2 linked regions of the Saccharomyces cerevisiae S288C genome follow. The protein of the gene in region 2 binds, or shares a complex with, the protein of the main gene of each other region. Each region holds a gene or a part of one and is shown on either strand. Other genes may lie near its edges.

The links.
Region 1: IES3 (region 2) and IES4 share a complex: the UniProt entries of both Saccharomyces cerevisiae proteins name them as parts of the chromatin-remodeling INO80 complex.

What each region holds. Positions count from the first base shown.
Region 1 is NC_001147.6:687,713-691,811, reverse strand, and holds IES4 (Ies4p), read right to left. Parts: upstream 2,189-4,099; coding exon 1,838-2,188; downstream 1-1,837. Other genes in the region: SPR1 (glucan 1,3-beta-glucosidase), read right to left, coding at 1-1,117; MSB1 (Msb1p), read right to left, coding at 2,632-4,099.
Region 2 is NC_001144.5:243,820-249,690, reverse strand, and holds IES3 (Ies3p), read right to left. Parts: upstream 2,491-5,871; coding exon 1,738-2,490; downstream 1-1,737. Other genes in the region: OSW2 (Osw2p), read left to right, coding at 1-974; NRS1 (Nrs1p), read left to right, coding at 1,265-1,591; FCF2 (Fcf2p), read left to right, coding at 2,714-3,367; EMA19 (Ema19p), read left to right, coding at 3,619-4,104; MLO50 (Mlo50p), read left to right, coding at 4,519-5,805. UniProt on the Saccharomyces cerevisiae protein: Probably involved in transcription regulation via its interaction with the INO80 complex, a chromatin-remodeling complex.

The DNA of each region.
Region 1 (4,099 bases), on a different chromosome or scaffold from region 2:
ACGTATTTATGTAATGAGATTTTTCATTGTCTTTGGTCCAACTTCCATCATATCTGGCACCTAGACCAACCCCATTTAACCACTTTGTACAATCTGTTAAGGCCGCTGAAAATTCGCCTGCTACGGACCAATGCTTCTCGCTTACGGCATCTTTCCCCCATTGGCAGGCGATTTTGATACGTTCATTCATTTTTCTTGTTAATTCCACCTGCGAGAACACCTGATAATGATGATGGTCAATTATGACGCCATATTCGTTCTTTTCATCATTCAAAAACCCATCCCAATAATGGTAAGGTTGAAAAGCATCATGTATTACAATGATCTGGTTGCTATTAATTTTATTTCTCAAATAGTCATAAGCCGGCTTCAAAAGCAAATTTTTCAATCTTTCCATGTCAATAACTGGACCTAACGGTTCATTGAGCAATTCGATTCCAATAACGGTGTCCAGGTATACGTCTGTTGAGTATTTGCTTAAAATATACGTTAAAGCTTTCATGGTGGCGCTTAAATTTTCATCTTCCAGAAACTTATATGAATCCCTCAACCCTGAGTTATCAAATCCGTTTTGTGAACCAGCGGCTCCATGAAGATCAATCCATACTTTCAAACCATATTTCCTAGCCCAATCGATAGCCCGGTCTAGAAAATATTCCTGCTCGGCGGTAACATAGGGATCATGACTCAACGTTGTAAAGGCCCAATACCCAATAGGAATTCTAACCAAATTGAAGCCTTGAGAAGCAATTTTCGCGAAGTCTTCCTCTTTATAGAACGTCGACCAATGACTATAAAGGCGTTCCTTTGCCTTTTCATAGCCTAATTTTTCACAAAAATGGTATTCATCAACAGGAATACCGTCATCGTTGTACGGATTAGTACGGAAAGTCTCGAATAAAGAAGGTGTAATATACGGCTCCAATACTAGCCACCCACCCAAATTGACTCCATGAATTTTTTCATTGATGGCTTGATTGTTGATGGCAGAGTATATACTATCCTTTTCTTTATAAATAAACTGTATAGAGTCCCTATTTTTTGTGGAAACAGGATTACAGTTTACTAATTTGGTAAAAAGTAGTGTTAGTGTAGTCAGCCCTCTGAACGAAACCATTTACTTCTAAAGTTTATAAAGATTTTATGCGGAGCACCTCAGTCTTTCTTTCGAATCTTTGGATGGTCTGTTCGCAATTGAACAATTAAAAGAGAAGGGTAAAAAAAATAATGAATGTGAGGTTGTTCTACGCATGGAAGTTGCTACAAAAGGGGTGGCAACTGATGGAAAGACTTTTTACACAAAGATTGACAGCATTACTGACAAATTTCTAATGAACCAGACGCGCCGCTTCTTTTAGTGTCGTTTGGTAACCGCTTTTTCTTAAGCTGGCAGAGACCGCCAAAAATAAGAGAGTCGCTTGTAGTGGGACAAATAATGAACAGAGAGGCTTTTTGATACCAGTATCGTTGAGTTGGGAATGAAATGAAATATAACGATGCAATCGTCGCCATTCCTGTCAGAATATAATCGACGGTCATGTTATATAATTGTTTTATAAACGCCCACTTCTTGGCTGTATCTTTTATAATGTCCTTTTTTCCTGAAGAGGGTTTCCATCTAATTTTCTTTTACAGTCTGTAGCCTTACTTCTGGCCCTTTAACTAAATACATTTGATTTATATTGCATATTTACTCATACAATTGTATATTTGTTGTTCTTTTTTGGTCGGCTACCAGATTTAGTACTTAATGTAACCAATTTGTGAATTTCATAAATGACGTGCCAAACTAGAAAGTGTGGGGCCCTGAGAACAACTTTAAGCTGTTGACATTACCTTATGAGTCCAGTCCATCCTCTCCTTCTTTTTCAAGTTGTTTTACTTCAGGATCCTCATCTGCTGGTTCTTTTTTCCTTGTAGCTTTGTCATCTGATCCTTTAACGTCAGATGCAGTAAACTCGCTTCCCCTTTGACGTTCTTCTCTTACGTCTCTTCTTATCCAGCCGGTGAAATTTACCTTATAACCACTGAAGCTCTTGATCTCTATGGCTTTATTCTTGTAATCCCACGGAAGTACAGGTTTGCTATTATCTCTCGAATTGGCAGAGGGAGGGCTTGTATCCTCTATTTTAGGGTTATTGGCTAGTTGTTCTTGCGATTCTGATAAAACACTACTTTCTTGGGACATACCACAATTACTCGAGAAATTGGATTTATCTTCCGGCCAATATAAGTAAAGAATGTGTTGGCATTATAGTACATTTTGTTGATATCTTTAAAATTACTTGGATTATGAGAATGATTACCCGTCAACTGCTTGGTAAAGTTTTAACGTTCAAGAAAAGCTCTAGACGGCGTAACGCACCTTTTGTTATGAGCGTTAGAAAAATTAGTGACTAAGAGGATGAGATGATAAAATGCATATGATGTTGAATATGGAAAATAAAATGTTATATTCTTACTCAACGTAACCTGCCATTTGTAGGAGTTAAAAATTATGTAGTAGACTTAAATCTCTCCTTATTGTCCTAAATACTTGTAATTACATACACATATATATGTATAAATATTCGGGAAATTTTACAACTGTTGAGATTTCATAAAGATGATAATTTCAGATACAAAGTGTTTCTATATGCCGAAATTTCCGCTTCTAATGTTATCATATAGCTTCTTTCTCTCCTGTCTTTTGTTAATATTTCCATGCAGTTTGTTTCCCTGAGGAGCTTCTGGTAGGTAAAATTCACTATTTACAGCCCCCATAGGCTGAGCGGGTACGGAATAGGCATTCTGCTGCATGCCTTGGGGAAAACTACGCCTGTTAGCACCAGCTGTGTAACGTATCGGCTCCTGAGCTGGTACCATATGGGACATCATTGGAGGTGCTCGCATAGGTGGAGGTCCATTGTAGTATTCCGCAGGTACGACAGGTTGAGCTTGCGGTGAATACCTATTAACGTGCTGCTGTGGATATTGATTGGGGCGAACTCCCTTTGGTACCATTTGCGGCGGATTATTGCTCCACTTTCCATCTAACATATGAGCATTGCCTGCCCGGCTGTTCCCATAAGCATTTGTTGTGTTATTATGATACGGCGGCTGAGTTACCTTGTAAGTATTTACAGGGTGCTGGTGGTTAGGGTTCATTCGTTCCATTTGTTGATATAATGGAACGTTAGATGGAAGATTGGGCACACCTTGTTTTACTGGCACCATATGTTGGGGAATAGGTGAAGCATCTGCCCGTTGATTTCTGGACTTTAGTTCTGGGGGCACAATATTGTTTTGGAAGGGACGTTGTTTTTGTTGGTGAGATGGATAATTATGCTGGTCCCGATATGTCATATGTGGTTGATTTGCTAAAACGTGAGCAGGATCATTATACCCAACGGGTACATTAATCGTGTTCTGCTTGAATCCAGCCGAATTGGTGGAGAATTGTGGAGACCTCGCAGGTGAATATGCAGAAGGTGGAACTGGTGCACTTGCAGGCGACATTTCATTTCTACGATCGTTCTGATAGTATTTTTGCTGAACAGGAGATACACAGTCTCCAGGCGCATTTTTATATGGTTTTGGTGTTACCTGTTGAGATGGACTGACTGCACCTTGTAAGACGTTCAGGCGAGACTCATTCGTAAATGCCTTTTTCGAATCCGAATTTGAATAAGTGGGTTGACTAGGCATTCTTGATGCCGGCAAGTTGTTGATATTTGGAGAATAATATGATGATGAATCGTCGTTGACTTTGGATTCCTCAGAAATCTTTCTAGGTTCCGCTAATTTCCTATCAGCGGTGTATTTGGAACTATCAGCGCAAGAATCATTTGTATTTGTACTTAGCTTCAATGAGTGAACGGCGCTTGAATGGCTGCTTTGTAAGTCATCGTCAGTTATATTGGATGGCTTATATTGATCAAACTTTGTCAATGATTCGAAAGTCTCTGCCTCAGTTATGGAGATTTTTACATCGTCTGGCTCATTAATCATCATTTCTTCAACCATACCGTTTAATTCTTCAATAGCTGAGTCGGTAGCTCTTTTCTGGGAATTTTTAAGTTTGTCACTGTCGTCATCATCGTGTTCGTACATTAATTCC
Region 2 (5,871 bases):
ACGTTGCTTCAGGAATTAATAGCGGCCAAGATTTTACCGATGGTGATAACGAGGATCAAGATAAAGGCAAAAACAGAGTGGACAAAAATGTAAAGGAAGGTTCTTTCATTAGTTTAACACAACGATTCACGATGACAAGTCCACTGGGTGTCAATGATCCAGCTTTACCAGCGGACTTAGAAAAGTTGTATTTAGGTGCAGAATACATTAGCAATTGCGACGCAAATACATCTGGTGGTCAAAAACGAGTAAAATCTCCAACTAAAGCAGATACAGGCTACGATGATAAACACTTGCCTGATGATACGATACATACATTTGAAGATGAATATTTGGCCGATGAAGACGACTTTTCTTGCCTTGGAATTGACAAAAGAAGCTCAACAAAGCCCACAAAGCCTCTAGAAAAATTTGGAGTGGTTGCTGTGCCACACTTCATCAGGAGGTTTTCTATTAAAAGGTCGAGTAAGGATAAATCAAATGATATGAAAAGACCATATACTACAAGCAGCTTGGAGTTGCAATTAAGGTCAAATCACTTTATGTTCGCCAAAGAATACCAAGACTTACATAGACAATTATATTACGAAGTTAAACCAAGGACGCAATCAGAATTGGACGCAAGACGTCGAAACTATTCTGAATTAGAATCTCAGATGTGGAAAATTAAACATCGGTTCAATATTCATAGAGGAGCACTGCCTCGTCCACGAACGAATCCGTATGAGCTATTACTGGACCACATTGATGTTTTGAACCGTGGCAACACTGGGGATATTTTGAGATTTACCACTAGTAGATACGGTGGTGTAGATACGTATGATTCCATCTTGAGGGACCAATCCACGATCATGGAACTTTTAGATAAACGGTGTGCCTATTCACCTCCAGTACTGTTCGATAATGAGGCTAAAGAACGTGATCATGATCGCGATTGTTATCAAGATTACAATCACGACCACCGGAGTCATTAATATTAAAAAAAAAAAATGTGATTGTTAATAAGGGGTGGGATGCGCGAAATTCTATGCCTACAGTAGAAAGCGGTTGTTGCACAAATGATTAAATCTTTATCTCCAACTCACAATACTATCGCGATAGATGCATAATATGTGCAGCTTCTAAACAGCACGGAGTGATGATAAATACGCATATATGTATATATATATGTATGTGCATATGCACGTCCTTTTAAAACTCAAAATACAACATTCTTAGTAAATCCTTTTGTTGACACACGTCGGAACAACTCAGGACGGAGTTAATGGATATGCTTCATAATAAATGTAGTGATGCTATCAAAAGCACCTCCAATAGCAATTTGAGTAATGAGGTAGACAAACAAAAATTGCAATACGATGACCTCGGGAACACCGGATTTTCTGAACTATTTGAGATGGAATCTCAAGATAATAATGATAGCATAGAGGATTTCTTGTTCTTTAATATAAATTTAACCCAGGAGGTTGAGTTCGAGAACCAAAGACAATATGAGCACACGAAAAAGACAAAGAAGCATAACCCATTCTATGTACCGTCAGAGGTAGTGCGAGAGATGGTCAAGAAACACGCATTGAATGGCAGAATATAGTTAAGCCCGATAACACATTCTATTTTTCATGTTTTAATAACGTTTCATATATGAATTTTTCTCAAATATACGATATATACCTAAATGAATATGCATATGGAAGTGAAGTTGGGGATTTTGCAAACTTGTCTTATGTTAATCTTGGCTTAAAGAATGTTTTCCAAAAGGCCGTTCTTATTAATTTTTCTTCTCTTGGTTCTGTTAAATGCTAGTGAATTCGCATTGACGTTCGTTGGTATGGCTACTGCTCCGAATGCGATTGGATGGCTTGCCTTCCTGCCACGATTACTGAACAAATCGAGTTCTACATTTGCATCCAACAGTAGTTCTTTCAATATAAACCACTTTCTTTCTTTCTGTGAAAGTTTTTGGTACTCTTCAAGCAAGTTCTCTTGGATTTTGGTCAGTATATCAATTTTTTCATCATCTGATAAGTCAGGGTCCTCAGTTTCTTGGTCCTGCTCCGCTGCATTTAATGTTACAATTTGGTCATTGACAGCTTGTAAAAAGTTGTCATTCATAGCGTAAAGATTGTCCTTGTACAACCTTGTCTTGAGGGTGCTTATATCTATCTCATCTTGGTTAGCGTTCGTTATTACATTCCCTGGAGAATTCTTTATCATTTCATAGTTCATTTTCGATATGTCATCCACGGCAACAATGTGTCTTTTGAATGTCGTGGTGTTTGTGTGAGTGGAAGCAGTTGAGGCGGCATTTGCATCGGTAGCTGTAGATGGGGTCGAAGAACCTTGTTGATTCAAGCCATCTGCGTTATGAAATTTTTTGTGATGTGGGTCTTTCTCCAAGAAATCTGGAGTTTTGACACTTTTGTAATGTTGAGTAGCTGCATGAGCAAACTGCACCTGTTTATTGGTTGCCAAGAGGTCTTCGAACTTCATTGTTATGATTCCATTGAAGACAGCTATGTCAGTTAACAACGCAATTCCCCCTTTCACACGAAAACCTTTTCTCTAAACATCCTTCTCTTTTATCATAATTCGTGGTTAGTGCCGGCCTAAAAATTTTTCAGCATATTAAAACAGAAGATAGAAAAGAAATAGAAAATGCGATGAGACGTCAAGTTTTCCAATTAAAGAGGACGTGAGAAAGGAGCTGTTAAACATGGATCAAAGTGTGGAAGACTTATTTGGAGCACTAAGAGATGCTAGTGCCAGTCTAGAAGTAAAAAATTCAGCGAAGGAACAAGTTTCTCTTCAACAAGAGGATGTTTTGCAGATAGGCAATAATGATGATGAAGTAGAAATTGAAAGTAAATTTCAAGAGATCGAAACTAATCTTAAGAAGCTTCCTAAGTTAGAAACCGGATTTGATGCTTTAGCAAACAAGAAGAAGAAGAAGAACGTCTTGCCTAGTGTGGAGACAGAAGATAAAAGAAAACCCAACAAGAGCGACAAAAACGATAATGACTGGTTTACCTTACCAAAGCCAGATGATAACATGCGTCGTGAAGTTCAACGAGATTTATTGCTGATTAAACATAGAGCTGCTCTTGATCCAAAGAGACATTATAAGAAGCAACGTTGGGAGGTGCCAGAGAGGTTTGCTATTGGTACCATAATTGAAGACAAGAGTGAGTTTTATAGTAGTCGTATGAACAGGAAGGAAAGAAAGTCGACTATTTTGGAAACACTCATGGGTGATGAAGCTTCTAATAAGTATTTCAAGCGTAAATACAACGAAATTCAGGAGAAATCTACGAGCGGTAGGAAGGCACATTACAAGAAAATGAAAGAGATGAGAAAGAAGCGGAGGTGAGATAATGGAATTTTCTTCGCCACGTATTCCATATAGTATATTGTAAAGTGGTTTAGATTACATAGAAATATTCAAAAGAATTAATAATTTGCATATCGTTTAAAAAAAAAAAACCTTTGAAAACATAGTAAAGAATTATCGGCTTTTGTACAGGATACGAATTAGTAGGTATAAAAGGAACAACCGCAGCAAATAAGTACGAGAAACGAGCCACTCACGTGAAAACATATAGAGAAAAGCGACCGGAGATAATGAAGCTAGGACATCGTGAGCAACAATTCTACTTGTGGTACTTCATCGTTCACATTCCCATCACCATATTCATCGACTCATCAGTGGTTATTCCCGCTAAATGGCAACTAGGGATTGCGCAAAAGGTTGTTAGTGATCACATCGCAAAGCAACACGATTTCCTGCTATCAGAGAAACCAGAATGGCTATACTGGTTTGTAGTCCTTGAGCTAGTTCTGCAACTACCCCTTTTCGTCTATTTCGTCAATAAATTCTGGAATTCAAGCGAATTACAAGTTAATACAAATAGCAGATTGAAAAAGTGGTTGCGTATCTATGGCTGGAATGCCTCTCTAACTACCTTGATATGTATCGTTGTTATTTTCAAGCGTGGTTACATTCCTTACGATGTGCTAAAAACAAGCTTGTCCATGACCCAGAAGTGTCAGTTAGCCTCGGTGTACCTACCTACATTCCTAATTCCTTTGCGTTTGTGTTTTGTGTAGCCTGTGTCGGCTATATATACAGTATTAGTGACTATATAGTTAATTAGTGACATATGCCACTAGTTTTATCTAATTATTGTGCTGCGTTTTGCAGTATTCTTTTTTATTTGAAACGCGTCACAAAAGTTTCGCGTCCTTAGGGAAATGGCTGGTTTTTGTTTTAAAATAGTATATTATCCTTGATGTAATTTAGCAAGAGTGTATTGTAAGGGAACAGTCTGTTACTGCCATTCCCTCATCGCTAGATCCCCCTTCCCTCGCTTATTCCGTTACTTTCGCTTTACTGAGCCATAACCAAGCGCACGCATACATATATATATATATATATATTGTGCTGCACGTATATATAAATAAATCACGCGTACAAGGATACGTTAGCCAAATTCTTTGGATATAACAAAACAGCTACAACTCATGGTTAATAATATCATGCACGAGTACGTACCACCCAGTCAGCGGCTATTCCATAGCAGGCATAGAATAACAAGAAACGATTTGAAAGAAGAGGCCCTACATTCCGGGACCACAGATTGGACAACAATTCTGGACACAACAATAGATAAAGATACTAATCTCATTAGTTATGCTGTCCCCATAATAGACAACTTTGCCATTCCTCGAGCAAACTCTCAGGGGAGTCCTGTGGCCCCTTCGCCGAATCACAGATCAACGATGTACTCTTCTTCATCTTCTTCTGCGTCTTCTGTGTTTTCTGATGGTTTGTTTACTCCAAACAACAACAGGAACTCATCAGGATCATCTTCATTAGTCATTAGACCACAAAAAAATTTGAGTGTAGATTCTTTGATTCAGGAAAATAAAAGGAAAATCAATAGTGAAAAAGAATCGTTATCATTAATTGCCAATAATAACGATGAAACCTTGTGCACTCATACTGATCCATCCATACAAAACCTCATTAAATCGGAAACAAAGAGGAACATCTTAAATTTAAAGTTTCAAAATAGAAACTTATTTCGAAGAGAACTAAAATTGGAAAAGTTTTGGAGCAATTTGAGAAGTTGTCATACATCTGGCGATGAGACGGACCTGCTGTTGGTGATAAGTAAGCATAACTTATATTGGTTTGGGATACCGAACGATTTTCGTCTTCCAATATACAAGAGATGTTTATATCACTATAGCGAACTAGACGAAGCCGGATTTTTCAGTCAGTATGCGAACAACTCATTGTATCTAGCAATAAGGAAATGTTGTAACAACGAAGAGCAGGAAACTCTATCCCGGTCTATTTTCATCAATTTGACGAAAAACGTTACCTGGTTGAATAGTCGTTTCGATGACAATAAGGACAACAAGAATTCTTACACGGTTACTGAGGGGAAGTTCTATCAGGACTTTCCTAACTTATACTACCATTTAAAGGACAAGTTGAAATTAAATGTGATAATGGATTTCATCAAGCCTGTAATAAGAAATTTTATGACCAACGCATTGAATAAGCACAAATTAGATGGTATTGGTCTAGAACTTTTAGATATTCTAATAGTGACTACCTATTATGGTCCGAATAAAATCAATGCTTTCTTAATGGATACATTTATCTTAAACTTGCTAAAACAGTGCCATTACAAGTTTTTTGTCAGTAATATCTCTGAGCTGGTTATTCAAATTTCTAAAATCGATTGTGACTTAGTCATTCTGCTAGAAGATTTAAGGTCACGGATTGATTTAGATTGAGCAAGGGGTAAGAGAGAAGGCAGGTATTTCTCCTGGAAGAATATATATATATATATATGTATAACG